2 linked regions of the Oryzias latipes genome follow. The protein of the gene in region 1 binds, or shares a complex with, the protein of each later gene. Links are inferred from orthologs where the notes say so. Each region holds a gene or a part of one and is shown on either strand. Other genes may lie near its edges. The genes, in order: dlat and pdk3.

Region 1 (11,783 bases):
ACCGCTGCAGGGGCTGGAGGTGGTGGGGGCATGGAGGCCTCTGCCATCCCAGTCTCGATGTAATCCTTGAAGGCGGCGATGTCACTTTCTTTTTCTACTATGATGCAGAGCGTCTGTCCCAGAGGAACGTCCCGAGTTCCCTCTGGGACCAGGATTTTGGCTAAATATCCTTCTTCCTGGACCTCGAATCCTGCAGACAAACACACAGAGCATCAAGTCTGTGTCATGCTCACACTGGTCCATCTGCAGCCAGAGCCCGTTTGGGTTTACCGATGGTCGCTTTGTCGGTTTCAATCTCTGCAAGGAGATCTCCTTCACCGAGCTTCTCGCCGACCTTCTTCTCCCAGCGCTGCACCGTTCCCATCGTCATGGTGGGAGAAAGAGCAGGAAGTGCGACCTAAAAACCGCACAAAAAAACAATGTTTAAATGCGTTTCAACAAAAATTAACGAAATCACTGAAGCACCAAAAAAATAACTCCTGCCCTGATGGCTAACCCCCTCAGAAAGTGTGTCCCATCTGCACAAGGAAGAAGACTTTCCCTAAAAAATATCAGCTTTCTGATAAAACAATGAATCTACACAACTATTATTGTTGCCTCCCGGTAAGATACTTCACCATAGGCCTGCACGATTAACCGCAAATTTATCGTCATCGCAGTATCAGGCCAATGCGGTATGCATACCGCAAAAGGAGGCAAAATGGCGATAAGTCGCCTCCTAATAAGGTTACATAAAAGCTAAACTATCTCTTTGTAGTTTTAAGTAACGTATCAAATAAAGCCCTTTATGCATTCAACCAATGGTATGGAGCTCTTCGTGTCATTGCCCAATCAACTGGAGCCCCCTAATGTTAGATACCCGCCTTCTACATAGTGCTGGAGTATTAAAAAAAAAACTACGTACTTTTTTCATCCGACATTTGACCAAACAAGACTTGCAATGGCTAACAGCAATATCTCGGAGGACGTGCTCATGGCGAAAAAAAAAAGCATGTCGATTATTTGGAGGTACTTTGGTTTCAGGACGGGCGACGTTCTCCAAACACAGGTACTATGCAAAACATGCCGAACACCTGTGGCAACCACCCGAGGAAACACCAGCAATCTCCACCATCACCTTCAATACAACCACGAAGATCTGTTTAAAGAGTTCATGACATCTAGGGAGAGCAAAACACCTGCTAAGTCAGAGAAAAAAGAAGAGCTCGGCAGGCCAACAGACGTCCGTATTTCAGAGTTTTGCGAGTGGAACTCCTTATGAAAAAACTTCAAAGCGGTACAAAGAAATAACAGAGGCCATTTAACATTTTTTGGCAAAGTACATGATGCCAATAAACACAGTGAGCCGACAGGGCTTTGTCAATTTGATGGACAAAATGGACCGGAGATATCAAATCCCTTCACGAAATTACTTTTCACAAGTCGCCATTCCACAGATGTATGAGACGTGCCGCAAGACCGTTACGTCTGAATTGAGCCAAGCCGGATTTTTTACAAGTACCACAGACCTGTGGTCAAGCCGCACGACTGAACCCTATTTGAGTTTTACGGTGCATTTTCTCACTGCGGACTTTGAATTAAAAACGCGTTGTCTGGAGACCGTGTATTTCCCGGAGTCGCATACAAGTGAAAACATAGTGCACGTATTACTAGACGTGCTGGCAAGCTGGGAACTTGAAGAAGAGCGACAGGTGTGCATCACCACGGACAACGGTCCCAACGTCGTTAGAGCCACGGAGCTCAACAAGTGGGTCAGGCTTCAGTGTTTTGGACACAGGCTGCACCTTGCAATTGGTGAGTTTATTTAAGATGGATCTTTATGAAAAAAATATGTAAATTATTATCAAACTATTTTGAATAGCTCCAAGATGTTAAAATGACAGTATAATTCGAGAACATGCAAGTCGTGATTTAATTATTCACTTGTAATGACTTGTTATTCATTTTTAAATTATTATACATTTCTAATGTTTTTTTTTTTTTACAAACAGGTTTAATAATTAGTTATTTTTTTGTGTGTCTTCCTCTTATTCAAGAAAATTCCATCAAAGATGATGCCCGCATCGCTCGAGCCATTGGCCTTTGCAAAAAGCTAGTTGGACATTTTTGTCACAGCTGGAAAGCCAAGACTGCTGTGAAAAAAGCACAGAAGGATCACAACCTCCCTGAGCACACACTCGTCACTGAATGTCCAACAAGGTGGGGTAGCAGGCAGAAGATGATTGAGAGAGTCCTGGAGCAGCAGCGGGCCATTTCTGATGTTCTCTCAGCAGACAAGAAATCCAGGCATTTGATTCCTACTTGGCAGGATGTGGATGTACTGGAATCTGTCAACCAGGCATTACACCCCCTGCAAGACTTCACAGATGCTCTGTCAGGTGAGATCTATGTTAGTGTTTCATATGTGAAGCCAGTCCTCCACCTGATGAAGACATCAGTGCTCGCAGAGAAGGAAGCGGATGGTGATTTGACAAAATCAATCAAGAAAAAAATCCTTGACTACTTGATTACAAAATATGAAAATCCAGCTACCCAAGAACTTCTGGACATGGCGTGTTTCATGGATCCCAGATTCAAAGCCAGCTATATCAGCACTGATCAAGTCTCAAACATCAAGACCAGGGTGCTGTCAGAAATGGAAGCAGTGGCACAAAAGGTTATTCATGCATGCATGTTTTTTTCCAGAGATGTTTCTTTTGTCCAAAATCTTTTTTTTCCTCATGTTTTGCTTTTGTTTTAGGAGAGAAGCTCCACAGATGTAGAAGCCAAGACCAATGATCCACCCAGTGCTCCGCTGAAAAAGGCAAAAAAGTCACTGGGGAGTTTCTTCAAGACAAGCCCACTCCCCAGCTCATCTGTTGCGCAATTGTCACAAGCTGTAGAAGCTGAGCTTAATAGCTACCTGCTGTCTGCACCCCTAGACAGTGAAGAAGACCCCTTGGCATGGTGGAAACTCCACCAAATTACATTCTCACAGCTGAGCAAGCTTGCAAGGAAGTATCTCTGCATACCTGCAAGCAGCTCACCTTCAGAGAGACTTTTCAGTACATCAGGAAACATAGTAACATGTCAGCGCACATGTTTGAAACCAACAAAAGTAAACATGCTGGTTTTCCTTTCAAAGAACTTGCCATAATGACACATACTGATGCTGTCCTTTATAGTTCATACTAGGTCACGTTTAAGTTGTGGGCCTCTATCTTTTTTCTTCATTGTTCATTTATGTTTTGCCCACAGCTATAGGTCTTACCTTTTTCTCCTTTTTGAAAAAGACTTGGATTTTAAGTTATGTTGACTTATTTAATAACACTTGCAGTAAAATGGAAATGTAGGAGACACCAACTTATTTTATTCCTGGGCATCTATATATATTTTTTGTAATCATTCATCTTAGTTTTGGCAAGTTCTATGGTGAATATATTTTCTTCTTTTTGAATAAAACTTGCACGTTAATTTAAGTTGTGTTGAATTATTTGAATAAAACTCACACTGAAACCAAAATGTATTGGTATTTTTGCTTTTCTATTTTTCCATTTATCGCAAGTCATACCGTCATCGCAGTTTCAAACACTGATCTCGCATATCGCAGATTTTTCTAATATCGTGCAGGCCTACTTCACCATAAGCCAGTTTTGCAGGTAAACATCAAGACTACACCCTGAAACAAAAAAGAAAACCTTACAGCTCCGACTGTAATCAGAGTTCCTCCTGCAGGAGCACGCCTACCTTCAAGTGTGGCGGGTAGGAGCTGCCCGGCGCTGCGGGGGGTGGAGCAGCAGCGGTTGGAGGAGCAGGGGGAGGAGCTGAGGCTGCAGGGGGAGGAGCGGCGGCAGGGGATTTGAGAGAATCCAAAGACACGTCCTTAAAGGCTGCGATCATGTCTGGGCTGAGATGAAACACAGATAGGATCTTTTTTCCAGCAGAAGTCTCTCCTGCTCCCAAACCTTCATGACAAGCACCGACCTTTCCACGGTGATGCAGATCACTGATCCAACAGCAATGTCTCTGGTGCCTTCAGGAACCAGGATCTTCGCCAGGTAGCACTCATCCATTACTTCAAAACCTACAGTAGCTTTGTCCGTTTCCACCTACGGAAAGCGAGACAAGTGTTTTATTATTTAAAAAAAAAATAATCTGGGTGGATCTGGGAAATATTGTGCGCCCTTCAGACCTCGGCTATGAGCTCGCCCTCGCTGATCTTGTCCCCCTCCTTCTTCTCCCAGCGGGCGATGGTCCCCGTCTGCATGGTGGGCGACAGAGAAGGAAGCTCCACCTGCAACAAACAAACCCGAGAGGTCAGCGAAAGACGAGGAGGCTGCAGGAACGCCCACCACAGAAGAAGGAGGAAAAGAACTAGTCACTGGTTATGGTGTCAGCGTCCATCACACCACATCATACCACTCCGCTCAGTAAACACCAACGATTTCAACACAGCTGTGGACCTTTTGGAAGCAGCTGAGGTCAACAAACAGAAGCTTTGAGCTAAAGGTAAAAATAAAAGAAGCTTCCAAACATCCGCCATGAATCTGAGACACAAAAACAGCAGCGAGGGAGGAGATGGAGAAGATTTCTGCTTAAAAAAAGGTTATTCCTGATGATTGTGGCTCCTCAACTTTACTGAACAAATAGATACTTTTAGATTCATGTTTTAGTGTCTGAGAGACTATATTCTCCTGAATATGTGTGGAAGAAACAAACCTGTTGAGTAAATATATAAACCACTCTCAACTACTTCCTATTAAAATACCTTAATACTTTGGTCAAAAATTCTAAATTGATGCCATTTTGATTCATAACACTTTCAAGCTTTGCAGAATAACTTTTATCATAGTTAGAAAAGTTTCAATTTCTTAAATAAATAGCAAAAAATTGCAATAATGGAAAACTGGATTTGGTGTAATTGTTAATAATTTAATCTGATATAAAAGTCCAAAGCTATAATAATTGTGATCAAAACTTTTCAAATGTTTTTATTATTTCAATTTCAACAGCTAAGATTTTTTATTCAGAATGAAAAACTAATACAAGTAAAATATGGGGAATCGAACCAAATCCCTGCAGAACAACCATCTATTTCCTGGATCTGAGAAATGATTATTGGGTCGGGATGTAGCAGAACTTTACAGAACCTTCACAGAACCAAAAGTTGTTGTTCCATTCAGATATAGTAGAGGCCGAACCCTAAACACTTAGCCTTAAAGAGCATTTTTAACAATCTGTGGTTACTTCTGCGGGTTGGGAGCCTGTCACCTTCACCCAGCTGGGCTGCACCAGCAAAGCACGGTGAGCACCGGAGCCGCGTGACCCTGACGGTTCTAAGCTTACCTTGTTGTGTGGCGGCAGACTGTAGAACCGTGTGTTCGGGCCGGAACCCACCAGTTGGGAAGACCGTAGCAGGCCGGCTCTGTGACTGTAGACCAAGCCCAAGGCCGACGTTCGTGACCCGGCTCCGCAGTGTAGCCGCCTCTCACCGCTGCATCTGGGGCGGGAGCCAAGCGCGACAGGCCGGGCTGGCAGGACTCTGGGCCCGGAGCGACCACACGGCCGGAGCCGCAGCAACAGACGCAGCATGTCCACTCGAAGCGGAGGCCACACGGAACCAAAACAAAAGTGCCCGAGACTACGAAGGAGAAGAGACCTTCCCCGTTTTCTAATGACCTCCTCACACGACACTTTACGGCTCTCCTCCAAGGGTTGCCGTCACTGCGCTGGAGGTGTCGTAAACGCTACTTGTTTCGATTTCGACCAAGGAAAAACGTTTCAAACGTTATAAAAACAAAAAGGAAAGAACAAACAAAAATAAAATTTTAAAAAATATAATTTTATTCATAATACATTTTCCAAACGTTTAAATATGTTCAAATTGCAAATTAGTTTACTGCAGTCCTAAAAGTGTCCACACAGTGGCAGTATAGCAATATTTTTTTGATTCCTTCGCACACCCACAAATCAAACTTCTTCATAGAATAAATAAAAAATGAAATAAAATTAAACTTGACATTTTGAAAATGTCAACAAAATAAACATATAATTGACAGCTAAATAAAACAGTGCAGTCATGTATCCTACTATTTATGTCTAACATGTTACTTTTATAGTTTTTCAAAAATATTTATTTTGTGGGGATACTATTAAAGATAAAAATTAATTACTAAATTTTTGATAAGATGGCAGTGTTTTATGGCAAGGGGGAGACAGAAATAAAAATTATTTAAAGTCCTCTAAATATAAAACAGATTTTGAAGTTTCTGTCGGGATATGTATATTAAAGACCAATAAATTGTAAAGTATCGTCAAATTATGATTTAAAATATAGACTTTAAAAAAACCTGAAACACCCTTTGTTCTCCAACATCCCTTGGCAAAAAGTAGTCTACATAGTTGCACTACAAATAGTCTGTATTAAAAGTGAGACGGTGTACTTTTTTGTACAATATCTATTTTTTGTCAATGTTCCAATTGAATCTGAAAAAATATGAAGGTAGAACACTTCCTGCACTACATCTTCATGGTCTATAGTTTATTTGCTGTATTGATATCAAAGTATATTTAATAAAATAATCTTCAATTGGAATACTTTTTGCTGAGGACTCCTCTGCCCCTGATTTGACGATTGTACACTATTTGGTTACAAATTTAATAAAAAAACAACTACAACTAAACAATCTTTTTGAGTCCTGAAATTTAACAGATACACATTTCTGTGATATATATTTAATTATGTTTGAACATTTAACCAATTTAAAAACAACCTTGCCATTTCTGTGAATGTGCCCTTAAACTGGAGGTCAAACAGAAGTGGGAAACCTTAAGTTTATTTTATTTGTGCGGAAATCTTCATGTAAATGTAGATGGAAGCTCATCATTAAAATAAGGAAAACAGACATTTTCAAAAAGGACTCATTTATTTGAAAATATCTAACAAATCTTTTTTCGTAAACAGAAGGTAGGGATAGTTTTTAAATAAAAATACAAACCAGAAACCTGCAAAAGGCACTGCTGCCAGCTGGTTGCTGAAAAACGTACTGGTCTGCAGCGGCGACACTTGAGCAGAGCAGAAGAAATCCAGCGTGTCAGCCATCCACATATGTTTTTTATTATACACGCACGCAAACATACATACTTTAAACTGCTCTGAAACAGAAACCTCCAACATAAAAAAGATTTTTTTTTAGCAAATTACATAAAAAGTCCAATCAGTTTTGTTGAATATATGTTCAACAAAACAAGAACAAAAGTGCAACATTTCAAAATAAAAGATCCTCTTCCCTTCACAGACTAACTAATGGTCTGCAGATAGATGTGTAGACACAAACACCACTGTTAACCATTTGATTCTTGTTTTCTAACAGAACATTCCATTACAGACATTGTTTAAAAAAAACACTGTTTTCTTTTGTTCTGGAATAATAAAAAACACTTTATTTTAAAACTAAAATAAAAATGACCTGCTTTTTCCTAAAAGAATCGTGGATGCGAGACTGATGTCTACAAACAATGTTCAACATTCATTAAACTCAGAACACTGCTGGGGTTTTGATTGACAGGCAGAGCTCCGGTCATGAAGGCACTTGTGTAGAAAAGCACAGCGACTATCTGCAGCCCACAGGCCCATTTTGGGGTCGCTCCGATGTGCTTTGGCTCAGGAATCATGGGAGTTTGTCCTTTTCCCTGAAACTATAAAGGCCTGAGAGAAGAAGAAGTGATGAGACAACCAACAGAGGAGCCAGTGGAGAAAAGTAGAGAACCCCCTGCTTACCTGTCCTCCCCTCGCTCCTCCTCCAGCCACGCCACAATTTTCCCCTCCCACCCTGGAACAAGTGCTGCATCGTTGAAGACCTGCAAACAAACACATCTTTAAAAAAAAAAAAAAACTTAAAAACTCATCACTGCATGAAGCTGGATCTTCTCTACCTCCTCTTTTACTGTGCCAAACTCTGGGTCCAGAGCTTTAAAGTGATACCGGTAGTTTCCTTCTCGATCCACAGCTGCCTTAACATCCCTGAGAGTCACCTCGCCCAATCTGTCCAACAGGAAGTGGCTCATTTCACATAGACCATAATAGAAAGCACAAGAAGACAGATGTCAAACACCAACCTCTTGGGTATGTTGATCATTGAAGGAGTCATGGACTTCCCAGTAAAATAAAGGATTTTTGTGGAGGACGTCGAGCCGTTGTGGGACTTGAAAGTTTCTGAAATGAGCAGCAACACCACAGGGTTAGTCTGTGGGTTACACCTGAACACATCCTGGGCTTTTTGGTGCTCCTTACTCGTGGAAGGCCATGAGTCCAAGTGTGTGTGCTGATCTTTGCGTCGTGGAGATTTCCCTCTTTCCTGCAGAGGTTCATGAGGAAGCTCAGAGCTAAGAACATCTACTCCTCAACGAGAAAAAAATCTCCTGGAAAACCCCTTCAAACAACCCAAACCTTACAGCTGTTCTACTTAAAATAATTCAAATAATCCTAAAATTTAGCCATGACTGATGTGTTTGGCCTGTGCGTACCCTGTGCGTGTGCAGAGCGTGCAGTCGGTCCATGAGCGACACAATGCCCTGTTCCAGAGTGTCCAGGGTGTGCTGCTGAGGGTCGTGGTCCAAAAACTTGTTCCTCAGACTCCTCAGAGCATCTTGCATCAGTTGGACCTCCTCTGCCTGCCAGGAGGAGACAAAAACACGACAGATTTTTTTTTTTAAACCCCACGGTGAAGAACAAAAGAAACTTTTTCTGAGACTAAAAGAATACATCAGCGGTAAAAGTTCCTGTCTGATCATCTTTTGATCTATGGTAAAAATGTTCCCAGTGGTCTTTTTATTTTGATTATGTTGCTTTTAGCCAAACTCAAAAAACCTGTGTCATTTTCTAGGACTCTGTTTCTGCAGAGCGGCAGTAGTTCATTAGAAATTTGCCTTTGAGATGTGGGCAGGACCGTTGGCAGTAAGTGAGTAATTAAGTCCTTCGTCCTCTTTCAGTCCCTCTTACAGAGTGGAATAGGAAGCTGGTGGCCCACCCAGCATATTTTCTACATCTTTTTAAAAATGCATTTTTTTCTCTGCTCCTGCTTCACAATGATTTGAATAAAGAAATAATCGGAAAATGCAATTTTATGCTTAATGTTCTTTAGATGTCTTCCATCATCAGAAAAAGGACACAAAAACATTTTAAAAACACAAGAAAACTATTTTTTAATCAGATTGGGTCTTTAATGAGGAAAAAGAAGAGAAAAAAGACATGCAAATGCGTAAAATCTGGTGTATTCTGGGTCTGTTTACTGGAAAGATCCTATTCAAGTTAGACTGACTTAAATAATTGAAATTTTAACTTGTGTAGAAAGACTTCAGATGCTGAATCCGCTGATAGGAAGTCAAAGTATTTTAAATTTTCATTGTTTTCCCCTAAATTCATATCATGATGCATTTACTGTGGATAGGAAGTGAGCCACCACTCTAAAAGAAGGAACATCCTGCTGCAGAAGGGGTGGGGCTAACCATCAGACCACACCCCTTACAAAGTATTGACTGTAGTATATGAGACTATACTATACTATATATAGTATATGAGAACTGGACCAAGTGAGTGTGATGTCATCCACAGAAAATATTTTACCTCTGGCTTCAATTAAATGAAGCCAATTCAGTGGCCATTATTTGCGCAATACGGACATCGATGTTGGAGCCAGAAATCATCAGTAAGCAGTGATTGATCCAAGTCGGTCTGGGTCATTGTTTCTATGGCAACCATTCTCACCTATCAGAAATGGCTTGTTGGAAGTCCACCTGAAAGCAGGCTCAGGAGAATCTGTCAATTAAATGTTCTAAACGTTTCACATGAGACCACCTACTTCCATTGAGGCATCTGATTGGCCAGTTTCTAACTACACTACAGATAAAAATATAAAAAATTAGATTATCAAAAATGGTTATTCAGACAATAGTAGGGCTACATGATAAGAGGAAAATTCACGATTTGCCATATTAGTGATCAATCTGGCGATACATGAATAAACAGCAAAACAACCAAAAACATCATTTCCATTTCACTGCAACAGTTTAAATTAGAGTCAACAGTTTAATTTAAATTAGAGTCAGCATAATTTAAATTATACTCCAAATGACTTTCGTCTACATAGGAGGTGAACATCTAACATAAGGGCTCCATCCGATTGGTCAAATGCATGAAGGGATTTATTTGATTCGTTAAATACCTCAAGCAGCCTTAAGATGGTTTTAGCACATTTAAGGTAACCCTTTAGTGCAATTTTTGGTGTCTTTTGAGATATGCATATTGCACAGCTTGATATTGATAATTGATAACTGTAAATTTGCGATTCATTGTGCAGGCATTAACAGTATAATGTCTGAATAATAGATGTTTTTTTAATAGAATCTATGGGATTCTGGCTTCTTGAAACCAGCAGGTACTTCCTGTTTGAAACACAAGAGGGGAGGAGTCACTCAGTCCAGTTCTCTTGTACAGTCAATGCTACAAACCTGCTGTTTTCAGCAATTCATCAGCAGGTGACACTAGGTCCAACAGGCTCCTTTTTCATTCATAAACTGCTCTTCTCTCCAAACATGAAAGTGGATTTTGAAGGTTTACAGAAGACGCTGCCCTTTTTAAGGTGGAACAACACTTACGCCTGACACATGAGCGGAGCTTCCACAGTGAGAATATCCATTGTTTTCCGGGTTGATGGGGATCTGGCGGAAAAAGGAGGAAAATGTGAGCCGAGTGTCCCTAATCTGTGTTTTTGTACCCACAAACAGACTCACACACCTGCTGGAGGTTTCCAGACATCAGCTCCTGTAGAACGCCGCCTTTATGCTCCAACTGTTTCTGCAACTCTGTCTGTTAAAGAAAGCACAGCTGCTCGTCAAAACTCACATGAATACAACAGTTAACTTTGAGACAACACACCTGCAGTTTTCTGCTTTCTTCCAGCTTCTGCTTGAGCTGCTGAAGCAGTTTGTCCTTCTGTCCGATGTCCTTCTGCATCCCAGCAGCCAGAGAAATCACATTATTAAGTCAAACTGACAGGATCAGAAGGATTCAGCCACACGGTTAAAATAGACCTATCACCTTGCACTCGCTCCACAGCCTGTTGCTTTCCTCCAGCTTCCACTGCAGCCCTGCCTGCAGCAGAGGACAGGACACCAGAGTCGGTGTTAAATTACAACACAAAGAACCCTTCTGAACACATTTCTGAGCTAAAAACACACAAATTCATGAAAAAAAAAGATCTTTTTGGGGGGGTACGTTTTGGTTGCCGAGTTCCTCCTTCAGCATACTGGCTCTGAGGAGCTCCTGCTTCATCTGCAGGATCGATGCCTCCTGAGTGCACAGCCTCTGCTGCTGGGCGTCCTGCATGTCAGCAACACACACAGAGCTTCAGCTTCATCGGCATCACCTGGAAATTTGAGGCCGCAGGATGTCTTACCTTGACTGCCTGCAGGTTTCGCACCTCCTGCTTACAGCGCAACAGCTCCCTCTAAAACAGGCAAACGAGCCAAGGGTCACTTGTCAACACTACAGAAGTCTTCCTCGGTTTATGCAACGTTTCTCTTAAGTCTGAAAGGGTTACCTTCAGCTCTCGGACCTCCTCCATGCTCTGATCCAAATGGCTGCGAACAACAACCTCAAAAAAAAAAAAAAAGAGAGGTTGTGTGAGAGCCACAATGGAGGGAGGATAAAGGGAAATTGATACCCATGGAAGACGCACGCACCCAGACTCAGTGAAAGCAATGTGGGGCGGACATAAATAAAAGAAAAAACAACCAGGCAAATA
Region 2 (11,819 bases), on another chromosome or scaffold:
TAAAGTTTGTTATTTTGAGGAAGACCATCAGCTAAAATCCTTTTTTAGGACTTTTTTTTTTTAAAGACTCTAATTGAATCAGAAATGTTGGATAGCTAGCCTCTCTTGAGTACCAATTGTTTTAAAGCATTTGTTTTTAAGATTTAAAGTTTACACTCAGTCTTTCCCTCTCCAAACATGTAGTCTGTGGTAGTCATTTTTCCTGACCACATTCACAACTTGTCATTTTGTGTTTGGCTAAAAAAGACATTTTCTTATGTTTTTAAAGCTTGATTTAGAATAAAGGATGGTATTAAAGTAAAGATGCTGCTTTATTCTAATGTTTTCTATTATTATTATTCTACTTATTAAAACTCAGAAGAGGCTGAGTCTCACTTTCCAAGCTGAAACAGGTCAGGACTTTGCATGCGGCTGACTCGTGTTACCTTCAGATAGATGACAGCATCGGTGCCAACTCCCTCCATGGAGTAGAGCTTCAGATCACCCTGAAAGTACCGAGCATAGAGTCTAGAGATCGGTAAGCCATAGCCAAAACCAGCCTGTGACACAAAGGAAGACACAAAAGCCCTGTGTCATTCGGTTCTTAAAAGAACGTTGCCGCTAAAGTGGCTTTTGTCTGAAGGCTAATTTGAGTTAGCCAGTGTGTACCAGTGGTACAGCTCCCGGCTCGAGGCTTGGTGTCGGGGCAGTGGAGTACATGTAGTTAAACAGACGATCGATCTTCCTCAGAGGTACTCCTCCTCCTTTATCGCTGATCTTAAGGAACACGATGAAAAAACTTAGCTAAAGTCAATCTTCCTTAATTTAACCTCAAACGTGTCAAATACATCGTGTCCATTTACCTTTACAGAGAGATCCTCTTTACCCAAAGTGACTCTGGTTTTCACAGGGGGTAATCCCTCTGCACTGTTCTCATGGAGTTCCACCGTCGCCCTCATTGAATTCTGCAGAACAACCCCAGATTTCATTCATCACCAAGGACCACCAAGGACCCTTGAAGTTCCACTTCGATCATCTTTTGAGCTCTCTAAAAGCGTTTCCAGCGGTCCTTTAATCATGATTCTCCCATTTTTAGCCAAAATTGAAAAAAAGAATCTATCTAATTTTCTCAGTTTCTGCAGAGCTGCGGTAGTTCATTAGGACCGCAAGCTTTTTCAAAGAGCTTAAATTTCTTTATATATGTCCTCCATCATGAGAAAAATACCACCAGAACATGTTAAAAACAACATTCTCATTCAAACAATCTGCTTTCAGTGGATCAACTGCTCACCTTGAAGAGCTCAAACAGCATGTGGAACAGGTGAGAGGGGACATACACCACCTGGATGGGCTTATTAGGAGCCTTCACTGGAGAATAAACATTTGAGTTTAAACTTTTCCACTGAGAGGCAGATTAGTGGGGGAAAATGTCTGGATTCCTGCACATAACCACACTTACTGTTAAACTCCTCGATCTTGAGCTCTGGAGCTGCGAAGTAGTACTTCTCACACAGCATCTTGGCAGTGTCATAGGCATCTGGTGGAAAAGGGAAAGCATTACCAATAACACAGAAAGGTGAATAGGTTCAGTGCTTATGTTTGGGTTTCTGACACTGTTTACTAAAGCATCTTCTGCTCCTTAAGAGGTCATTCACAGTGCAGCTTCAGATCCCCGCCGCCTTTAGGCTTCTGATGTCCGACTAAGGAAACAATTCATCTCCAATTTCCCAGAAATGCACGGAACAGAGACATTTGCATAGAAGCTTGGATGGGAAAACAAACAGTCCAGAACACAGAAGCAGTTTGACAGTGGGAGGAAAACACGTTCATTTGTTCTGCCTGATCCCTGATCCTTCAGACCAGTATTTTATGGAAGGAGCTTTTAACTCTAAACTCAAAGACACATATTTTCTTTGAAGTTAAAAATTTACGAGCATAAATGTCTGATGAATTTACTAAGGAAAACTTTTAAGCGGTTTGAAAAAGTATTCCAATAAAATTGGTTAAAACCTTTACAAAATGTGAAACTCGGTAGGGGAGAGTTTTATTGCGGCACATGCGTGGCAAAAGGTCTTATTATAGCATTCTGGAAAAGTTCCTTAAAAACTGGAGGAGTATTTGTTCAAAACTTCCACTTTATCACTTAAATGAATTATTTTCTTAGTTAGAAAATGTCGATTTTTGGAGTTTTTGATATTCTCGGTGGGTAATCGGCTCCACGTTGAGCTTCAGCGTTTGCTCCAGCACATCTGGAAAGCATTTAAGAGGCCCACAGAGTCAGTGAAGTAGCTCTTTAGCTTCAGTTTTTCCAGTTAACATTCATAAAGACGGCTCTAGTAAGACAATAAACGTAACAAAACAACAAAAAAACATAATTGGGACCTTATGTGAGTCAATGCTTATACAGCATAAGCATGCAGGAACATAAACACTGCTGAAATAAAGAAATCAAAGCATTTTTTTTTCTACACCTAAATAAAAAAGAAGTTGCAGTTGCAGAGTTGGAATTAAACTCACCCTTCACAACTTCGGCGACATTGCAGGTTGGATCGATGCTGCCAATGTGCTTCGGATGGGCTGGGTTGGTGTCGTTACCAAACAGGAGTGCTGGGTAAGAACAGAACACAGACGCCAAAGTTCAGAGGCGGTGATCCCAATGGAGAACCGCGGCGGCATTTGTCAGACTCACTGTGCTGGTTGATCAGCATGCGAAAAGAAATGCGGTTGGTGTAAAAGCGGTCGAGAAAATACTGGATGTTGCTGCTGACAAAGGGGTCGAAGCCAAACTTCTCCTTGTACTCTATGACTCCCTGAGCCATGGTGGGAACCACATCGTTGTGCCGGTTCCGGATCTCGATTAGGACCTCAAGGAAGCTAATAAAGAAAAAAAGATATACAATTTTTTAAATAAATCAATTAACATAAAAAAAACATTAAAAATGACCAAATTATCATTTGCCTCAAATGGAGTATTAAGGCCACTATGTGAAAAAATAAATAAATATACAAGAACAAATTCTATATTCAAATAATATAGAATAAAATTGTAAATTTATCATTTCAAATTTTGTTAATTTGTTGTTTTTTTGAAAATACAGTTGTAATTTGATGTAAATAAAGTTGTATATTTACAAAAAACAAAAGTATAGAGGATTCAGCGAGTTTTTCCAGCTTCTCTGAGTGGTCTGCAACATGAATTTAAACAGGTAATGTTTAAATGTCAGATGAAACATTATAAAAGCTAAATGCAGAAATTTATGTTCCAAAAGGCACAATTTTTTCCTTGTAAAATTATGACTTTTTAGAATGTACATTTACAATTACTTATCTTGTGACATTTTTACCTATTTTAAAACTTTAGTATTGACTTTTTTTCCCCTCCTTTTCCCCCAAAAATGTACTACTTATAAATTTACTTTTTTCTTATATTTGTACGAATTCCTTGTCTTATAATTGCTTCTTTTTTAATTAAAAATGTACAACTTTATTTTCATAAAATTTAGACTCTTTTCTCATATTTGTATGACTTAATTCTTAATTTTCTCAGAATTTTATGACTTTTTTCTCATATGTTTGTTGTTTTTTCTTCTTTTATGCTGGGTCTAATACTCTGTCGTACGTACATATGTTGCATCTTTTCAATTTTTTTCCGATCCAAAGTCTTTCTGTTATTTTACTACTCTTTTTTTTTTTTAAACACCAAGTCATGCTGATTAGAAAGTTCTAACATGAGTAAGTCTGCCTCAAAGCCAGCAACCTCGACAGCCTGGAGTGTTAGCAGAGCAGACACGCTCCGTCAAATTCCTGTCTGTGTTTGTTGGCTGTGCATGACAGACTTTTGTTGAGGTAATAACACAGAGTGTTACGTGTGAGGTTTGTCTTAACAAGCCTGAGCTTGCTACTCCTGCATCTCAATTGTTTTTAACCACAAGATTTCACTCACTCATTCAGAGTGTGAGGATCCTCTGGCTTCCTGTTCTCATAGTCCAGCAGCTCCACAAAACTCTGCATGTACCTAACAAAGAAAACACAGACTAAAGGTCAACTCCCAACAAAGCCATTAGAACACCTTATCTTAGGGCAGCCAAACAAGCAAAGCAAAAAAAAGAAACTCCTTACCATTTCTGGACCAACCTGACGGAGGGCTGACTCAGCAGTTTATCAGGCAGCAGGTTAACCTCTCTCATGGTGTTGGCCAACCGCACCGGCAGCTCCTTCCGCAGAAACACGTAGGAGGTTTTTTCACATGCATTATCCCTTCCTAACCAAGAAAAAAAGTTTTATTGGGATTTTAGAGATTTTCTTTTTTACCTCAAAACTGATTATTTTGGCAATAACATTTTTGAAAAGTTGAAACTTCTCTTCTAAAAAAAAAAAAAAAGACGATTCTCCTAACAACAATAGTAAACATCCTTACAGTTTAGTTCCAGTTTAGTCTTAGAATCTTCCTTCATCATCAGTTTCATCATCATTTTCCTACCCGGAAGTCAGACGACTCAATCTTTGCGACACTCCAAGTGGGCGGCGCCTATTTCATGATGTCAACCTAGAGTCGGCCTCGACAGCGTGTTTGCCATCCGAACTTTTGCAAAAGATAGATGTGCATATTGTACATATAAAGCGAGAGTGTTTAGCCAATCACCGCTAGCCCCGAGGAGTGTGTGTTAGCCTGGGGGCGGTGCTGGCAGCACAGACTCTTCCTGGAAGGGGCTGCTCCTAACTTTGTGATGTCACAATGTGAGAACCCCCCCTCATTTTTGTGGATTGGGTTGATTGGATAGGGGCTCAGAGAGCAGGTTTTTAGAGGAATACTCAGAGATGCGAGAACGGATAAAAATACCTCTCTGGGGCTGTTCATAGCGAGGAATTAACATTATAATGACTTAAAAGCTCAATAAGTAGATTTTTCCTATTATCGGCCCTGTAAAGAGACACAAACTTTAAACGGTGCTAAACGAATTGAGTACATTATTGTTTGGTATTTGTTACTAATGCCTATTTTTATACCTCTATCATGTCGACTCAGTTGGGAGGATTGTCATGGAACTGATAACTCCAATCAGATAAGAAAGTGACTCACAAGTCAGAGATGTCTGCTTTTAAGATCTCCTGGTGAAAGAGAAACCATGTCAGAGTTGAAAGAGAGATAACTGCTCAGACGTTTTACAGCCCAGCCATCGACTGCTAAACATGCGTTCTTGAAGGCACTAGCGCTTGTCCGCCACCTACGTTAAAGTGGAGCAAATCTCGCAAATCTTGCTCCAGGCTTTTTCTTTCACGGCTCTATTCCAGTGTACAAAAGACTTGGTGTCATAATTCTGTCTGAGCACAAACCACAATTATTGATTTCGCCTCCAAACGGTGAACACTTCCGTTAATTTAAGAGGACATCAAGCATATGTTACTACCTAATCCAAGTCCCTGATTGGTCAAAGTTCAACCCGCTTTAACTTTCAACGTGGGCTCAATGGCATTATATATTTAAAGCCAAAAAACGGTTGTGGAAACTTGTGTAGCTATGCGAGAACAGGAGAGTTTTGAACGCTATAGCCCGAAACCTGGAAATTACCTAGACTTTCCATTGGAAGTGGTCACTTGAGCCCGCGTTGCCAAGGGCGGCGTGAACGTAGCTTACCGCTTCAAAGCAGGATCAGAAGTGTTTAACAATGAAACACTTTGGATATCCTTTTATTGAGGCATATGATTGGTCGGTTTATACCTTGAATAACTTGAACTACAGAAAGAAATATCACGAATAGTAGGATTAGTGGGAACACATAAAAAAGGGTAAAAATATAATAACTGAGTAATAGCTGTTTATTTCTCAACAGAAATCTTTGGGATTTTGGCTTTTTGGAGCCAGCAGGTACTTCCTGTTTGAAACGCAGGGGGAACGGGTCACTCAGTCTAGTTCTCAAATACATTCAATAAACCCAGCAGATTTTTTTGATACTTTTTTTTATGAAAAAGTGAAAGTAAAGAGTGAAAACACTGAAGCTGTGACATCTCAACGTTTAAAACGTCTTCTGTGTCATCATGAACAAGTGTAATCCCCCACTCCACAAGTGTTCTTCCTGTTGCTCACATCCCATCTCCAGCTGTGAGGACAAATGACATAATCACGGATTAAGAAATCCCTGAATGCAGCACAGAAACTCAGTTAACTGCTGTCATCTTAGGGGTTATAACACAACCGACCCTCCAGTTTTCATGTGTCCTAAATAACCATCAAGCTAATCTAAGGAGTGTAAGGAGTCAGATCTTGGCACAAAAAGGAAGGTGTCAGGATGAGTGAGCGGTGTTGTCACCTGGGAGTGCTCAGGTGTGCCTGCACATGTTCCATTAATAAACAGGTGATAAGGATACAGACATGACATGACCTCCCATGGAAGTGGGAATTCAACCTGATCTACACAGAAAATTATATTTCACACCTTTACTATTGATAATAAAACACAATTCACTGCAAAATTCATCAGCAAACAGTGGAATGAGGTCATAAGGCCATTCATAACAGGACATGTTGGGTTTCTACTCACCGAAATCCAAAAACTGCTTGATGGAGAGCGGCGATGGGGAATAGCGGGAGTAGTACTCGATTTTCGGGTGGGCATTTTTGAGCAGAGACAGAAAGAGCCTCATTTTGAAAGTTTAACGATGATGTTGTCTGGCTGTGACGTCAGAGGCTGGCTCAGGACAAATGAGAGCATTTCACCGCCGGTGACAGCGGCAGTCCTCTTCTCTCTCTGTCCGCATTTCCGTCCTCCGACCCGGGTTCGGAAAGGCGCGATGCGGTGAGGTCCATACGGTTACGAGACCCGACACGAACGCTTCCAATTCAGCTTCCTGGATCTACATTTGTGGATGTTCAGATCAGCTCCTTGACGTTAACGCAAACGACGGGACGAATGAACACTTCCTTTGTGGCTTTTCAAAATAAAACTGTTGAAAATAATGTCCGAGGACCTGTTTATTTGATCATTTAAATACTTGTACATTTAAAAAAATACCATTATCTATCTATCTATCTATCTATCTATCTATCTATCTATCTATCTATCTATCTATCTATCTATCTATCTATCTATCTATCTATCTATCTATACATATGTACACAGTACATACCAAAGGTTTGGACATACTTTCTCATTCAAAGAGTTATCTTTATTTTCATGACCATGAAAATTGTAGATTCACACTGAAGGCATCAAAACTGAATTAACACATGAAGAATCATACATAACAAAAAAGTGTGAAACAACTGAAAATATGTCATATTCTAGGTTCTTCAAAGTAGCCACCTTTTGCTTTGATCACTGCTTTGCACACTCTTGGCTTTCTCCTGATGAGCTTCTAGAGGTGGTCACCTGAAATGTTTTTCACTTCACAGGTGTGCCCTGTCAGGTTTAATAAGTGGGATTTCTTGCCTTATAAATGGGGTTGGGACCATCAGTTGTGTTTTGCAGAAGTCGGGTGGATACACAGCTGATAGTCCTACTGAATGGACTGTTAGAATTTGTACTACAGCAAGAAACAAGCAGCTAAGTACAGAAAAACGAGTGGCCATCATTACTTTAAGAAATGAAGGTCAGTCAGTCTGAAAATATAGGAAAACTTTGAAAGTGTCCCCAAGTGCAATCACAAAAACCATCAAGTGCTACAAAGAAACTGTCTCACATGTGGACCGCCCCAGGAAATGTAGACCAAGAGTCACCTCTGCTGCTGAGGATAAGTTCATCCGAGTCACCAGCCTCAGAAATGGCAGGTTAACAGCAGCTTAGATCAGAGAGCAGGTCAATGGCACACAGAGTTCTAGCAGCAGACACATCTCTGCAACAACTGTGAAAAGGAGACTGTGTGAATCAGGCCTTCATGGTAGAATTTCTGCTTGGAAACCACTGCTAAAGAAAGGCAACAAGCAGAAAAGACTTGTTTGTGCTAAAGAACACAAGGAATGGACATTAAACAAGTGGAAATCTGTGCTTTGGTCTGATGAGTCCAAATTGGAGATTTTTAGTTCCACCCATTGTGTCTTTGTGCGACTCAGAAAAGGTGAATGCATGGACTCTACATGCCTGGTTCCCACCGTGAAGCATGGAGGAGGAGGTGTGATGGTGTGGGGGTGCTTTGCTGTTGACACTGTTGGGGATTTATTCCAAATTGAAGTCATACTGAACCAGCATGGCTACCACAACATCTTGCAGCGACTAGCTATTCCATCCGGTTTGTGTTTAGTTGGACCATAATTTATTTTTCAGCAGGACAACGACCCCAAACACACCTCCAGGCTGTGTAAGGGCTATCTGACCAAGAAGGTGAGTGATGGGGTGCTGCGCCAGATGACCTGGCCGTCACAGTCACCGGACCTGAACCCAGTTTGGGTTTGGGGTGAGGTGGACCACATCTCTGTGAACTCCTTCAAGACTGTTGGAAGACCATTTTAGGTGACTACCTCTTGAAGCTCATGAAGAGAATGCCAAGAGTGTGCAAAGCAGTAATCAAAGCAAAAGGTGGCTACCGTAAAGAACCTACAATATGACATATTTTCAGTCGTTATGTACATGATTCTTCATGTGTTGATTCAGTTTTGATGCCTTCAGTGTGAATCTGCAATTTTCATGGTCATGAAAATAAAGAAAACTCTTTGAATAAGGTGTGTCTAAACATTTGGTGTGTACTGTGTATATATATATTCCAATATGCAACCCCAACTAAATTGTGAAAACATCGAAATAAAAATGTTTTAAAATAGCCTTAGCCCTTTATAAAATCTTTAATCCCTAACCCAACCCGAAAATATTTTAAACGTTTACAAAAAGAAAAAAATGGCTTGTAAAAGTGTGAGAAAAAGTTTTAACGTAATGGTCAGCATTATATTTTACATTACTGTACTTCTAAACAACTGTTTAGTATCTCTAGGAAGACCTTATAGAGTTTGTTTGCTTTTTCCTTTAATTTTGAAGGTTCACTTGACGAGCATCCGGTCTGTTGAAGGCGCTTCAGGCAGCACGTACTTAAAGGAGAAACGTCGTCTCAACCGCAAAGGCGGGGGCTTATTCCACCACTATTTTGATTGGCTTAGAGCTGGGAAGTGGCTGAAAGCAGCACTCCAATTGGTCGGAGGCGCGTCAGTCACCATCATTTACGTTTCCTTGTTTGTTTATTGCGGTCTGCGTAGATGATGCGATTAAACTTTACTTTAAACCTTTAAAACGGTTCCTAAAGTGTTGTCAGGAACGATGCGTTGTGTCGAGTGCTGACCTTTAAAGGAGCGCTGTTGGTAAAAATGCATAAACGTTTCAATTGTACTTCATTCTCGTTCTTGTCTCTACTGCCATCTGGTGGTGATTTACTGATTGGCCGGTGGGGTATTAGCAGATTGCCTTTAGGTTTTCACTGTGAAAAGAAACCTTATCTACCTGCACAAAAAGTGACATAATTTTAGATCTGATTTCTAACGACAAAAACCAAGAGTTAAAAGTATTTTCCTAACTTTAACTATAAACTAAAGTAATTGTCCTTTTTCAAATTATTAGTCTGATTTTGTTTTTAATAAAAGAAAAAAACAGATGTAGCAACTATGCTTTTTTTTAATTGCATCACTAACAAATCTGCTGCAATAGATTAAAATAAATTCAAATTCGGTGGAAGAGTTTTGGGATTTTGCTCTGATCACAAATATCAAGCAACGTTTTTTTTATTCAGTATCAAATAAGAATGTGAAACCAAGTTGTACATTTAAATTTCACGTTGTTCCTTGAATAATACTTAAACACAAACATAGTAAATGGGCCACAGTAAAAAATTCAAAAAAGGCAAACTGGTAAAGATCTTAACTCAAAAAAACAATGTTTTTCTTTTTTTCATAAAAGAAATAATTTCAACTGAATGTCAATATGTTTCAAAAATATAAAATGAAGCAAAAGGCAGGAACTCGGGGGTGTACTGCTCTGCAGAAATTAAGATACGGTCTTAGAAATTCAGATGAGCATGAGATCCTTTGCTCAAAAACCTGTGAAGGCCATGTCACAAGGTCACTACGTACATTTTGCTCTTTTTCCCACACATGAATTTTGGTCTTTCATGAAACATGCGTGATATATGTAAATCGTGGGTTTCTTGCTTTCATCATTTGTTGATGTGATGTCCGTCGAGGGTTTCGGCCGACTGATCTTTACGTGAATTTAGTTTTGAGCTGTTCAAAATTTTGGGTCGGTTGAGAATTACGCAGCGCACGCGTATTTATTGAAGTTTACACGCATTATTACGTAAATTTTACGCAACTGTGTGGGATTTTTGGAAGATCACATTAAAAATACATTGTTGATGTACCAATCACTATGAATTGCATGTAAACAGCGGAATAATCCTGCACGGTTCATGTTCTACGTTGATTTTCGGGTTCTTTGCGTGGTTTATTCGTACTTCATCTGTGGTTTTAACGTGGTTCATTGGTGATACATCGGCGAAAATTTTACACAAAGACCACAACTTTTCTCACTTTTTCCACATTTACTCACGTGTGACCAATTCTCATCCCAGCAAAATTTACATTGAGACTGTGTGACATGGAGTTTTAGGAAATTGAGTAAAACAGTAATTGAAGCAGTAAAAAAAGTTTTTTATTGCTATTTGCTCAAAGTAAAACTATATTAATTTTAAACGCAAATTCTTTTGTGTGACTAACATTTTACTCTAAGGCTTCTCCTCCCAATTTAGGTTTTGTTTGTGGACAAATAACCAGACCAGACCATTAAAAAAAGTTATTTCACGTTTTAAGACAGCTCAAGCACGGTATAGCTTTTTTAAAAAAACAACTCAATGTGGATCTAAAAGTGTCAGAAATGCACAAAGAATGCAAAGTGAGGTACAACAAATCCCACAGGATCAATCCAAATGACATCTGAACGGGAGCTACTGCATCAGTCAGTCCAGATACGGAAATTCTTATATGTAAATTGAGAACACCCTCACACAAAAAGGCAAATCCACAAGCATGTGTTCACTGGGAACAGAAAAATTCAGGAAGTAAAAAAACACAGAGAGAACGAGGTATTATGGGAAACAGGTGTATGAAGTTAAACACAGCAAAAAGCAACAAAACTCAAACCAGGTATAGTCAAAACACACATGATGACTTAAAGGCGCCAAATGGAACAAGGTATTTGGAAAAACAAAACAAGAGATGTCAAAAACTTAAAGGTGCAAAATTCCTTAATGTTTCAAAAGCTGCATAACAGGAAAGTGAAAGTTCATTTTGACATTTCCTTTCATTTTGCTCCTCTTGGCTGTTCTTTCGAAGTGCAGAGAAGATATGATTTACATTTGAAAGACTAAAACTATTACATGCTTTGAAACACATAAACTTAATAAGAGCCATGGCCATAAATCCTGTTGAGCTTCAGTCATCTAGTGGTGATATAAATCAGTTCATTATGTCTGTTTGTAATCAGCGGGGGGGTTTCAGCCTTCCTTCCTGCTGCCTTCAGCCGGCTATAAATGAATGAATATGAACGTACAGTTTGTTGTTTGGAAAAAAAATGTCCTGACTGATCCTGTCTTTCTTTCTTTCTTTCTTTCTTTCTTTCTTTCTTTCTTTCTTTCTTTCTTTCTTTCTTTCTTTCTTTCTTTCTTTCTTTCTTTCTTTCTTTTTCTAACTGATGTGCAGATGTGAGGGAAAAATCTGGACTTTCTTTCATAAAGAAGAAAAAATGATCAACACTGTTAGGTTAAGATGAGCTGAAAAACACTGTAAGCAGCTGAAACTAAAAAAAAAAAAAAAGTGAGGAAAGCATGCAGGGAAACAGATCTGAGCGTATCAGCTGATGCTGCTGTGTGTG

The links.
Region 2: the proteins of dlat (region 1) and pdk3 are in contact, whole or in part, in a crystal structure (PDB 1Y8N), measured with the Homo sapiens proteins. The link is inferred for Oryzias latipes from reciprocal best matches to the Homo sapiens genes DLAT and PDK3. Residues at the interface, in NP_001922.2 of Homo sapiens: Ala225, Leu226, Ser227, Pro228, Thr229, Glu248, Gly249, Lys259, Ala260, Ile262, Glu265; in NP_005382.1 of Homo sapiens: Arg21, Phe22, Ser23, Pro24, Ser25, Pro26, Leu27, Phe48, Lys51, Val55, Asn373, Lys374, Ser375, Arg378.

What each region holds. Positions count from the first base shown.
Region 1 is NC_019872.2:13,262,230-13,274,012, reverse strand, and holds the start of dlat (dihydrolipoyllysine-residue acetyltransferase component of pyruvate dehydrogenase complex, mitochondrial), read right to left. Parts: upstream 5,716-11,783; 5' UTR 5,572-5,715; coding exon 5,326-5,571; intron 4,513-5,325; exon of another isoform or gene 4,274-4,512; coding exon 4,172-4,273; intron 4,089-4,171; coding exon 3,964-4,088; exon of another isoform or gene 3,887-3,963; coding exon 3,727-3,886; intron 398-3,726; coding exon 271-397; intron 191-270; coding exon 3-190; intron 1-2. Other genes in the region: dixin-like, read right to left, coding at 7,678-7,687, 7,760-7,839, 7,915-8,023, 8,098-8,194, 8,273-8,336, 8,506-8,652, 10,636-10,698, 10,775-10,846 and 5 more.
Region 2 is NC_019878.2:15,198,568-15,210,386, forward strand, and holds the start of pdk3 (pyruvate dehydrogenase kinase, isozyme 3), read right to left. Parts: upstream 6,897-11,819; 5' UTR 6,622-6,896; coding exon 6,519-6,621; intron 4,241-6,518; coding exon 4,099-4,240; intron 3,995-4,098; coding exon 3,923-3,994; intron 2,854-3,922; coding exon 2,669-2,853; intron 2,587-2,668; coding exon 2,497-2,586; intron 1,517-2,496; coding exon 1,439-1,516; intron 1,348-1,438; coding exon 1,271-1,347; intron 945-1,270; coding exon 843-944; intron 757-842; coding exon 649-756; intron 540-648; coding exon 426-539; intron 1-425. UniProt on the Homo sapiens protein: Inhibits pyruvate dehydrogenase activity by phosphorylation of the E1 subunit PDHA1, and thereby regulates glucose metabolism and aerobic respiration. Can also phosphorylate PDHA2.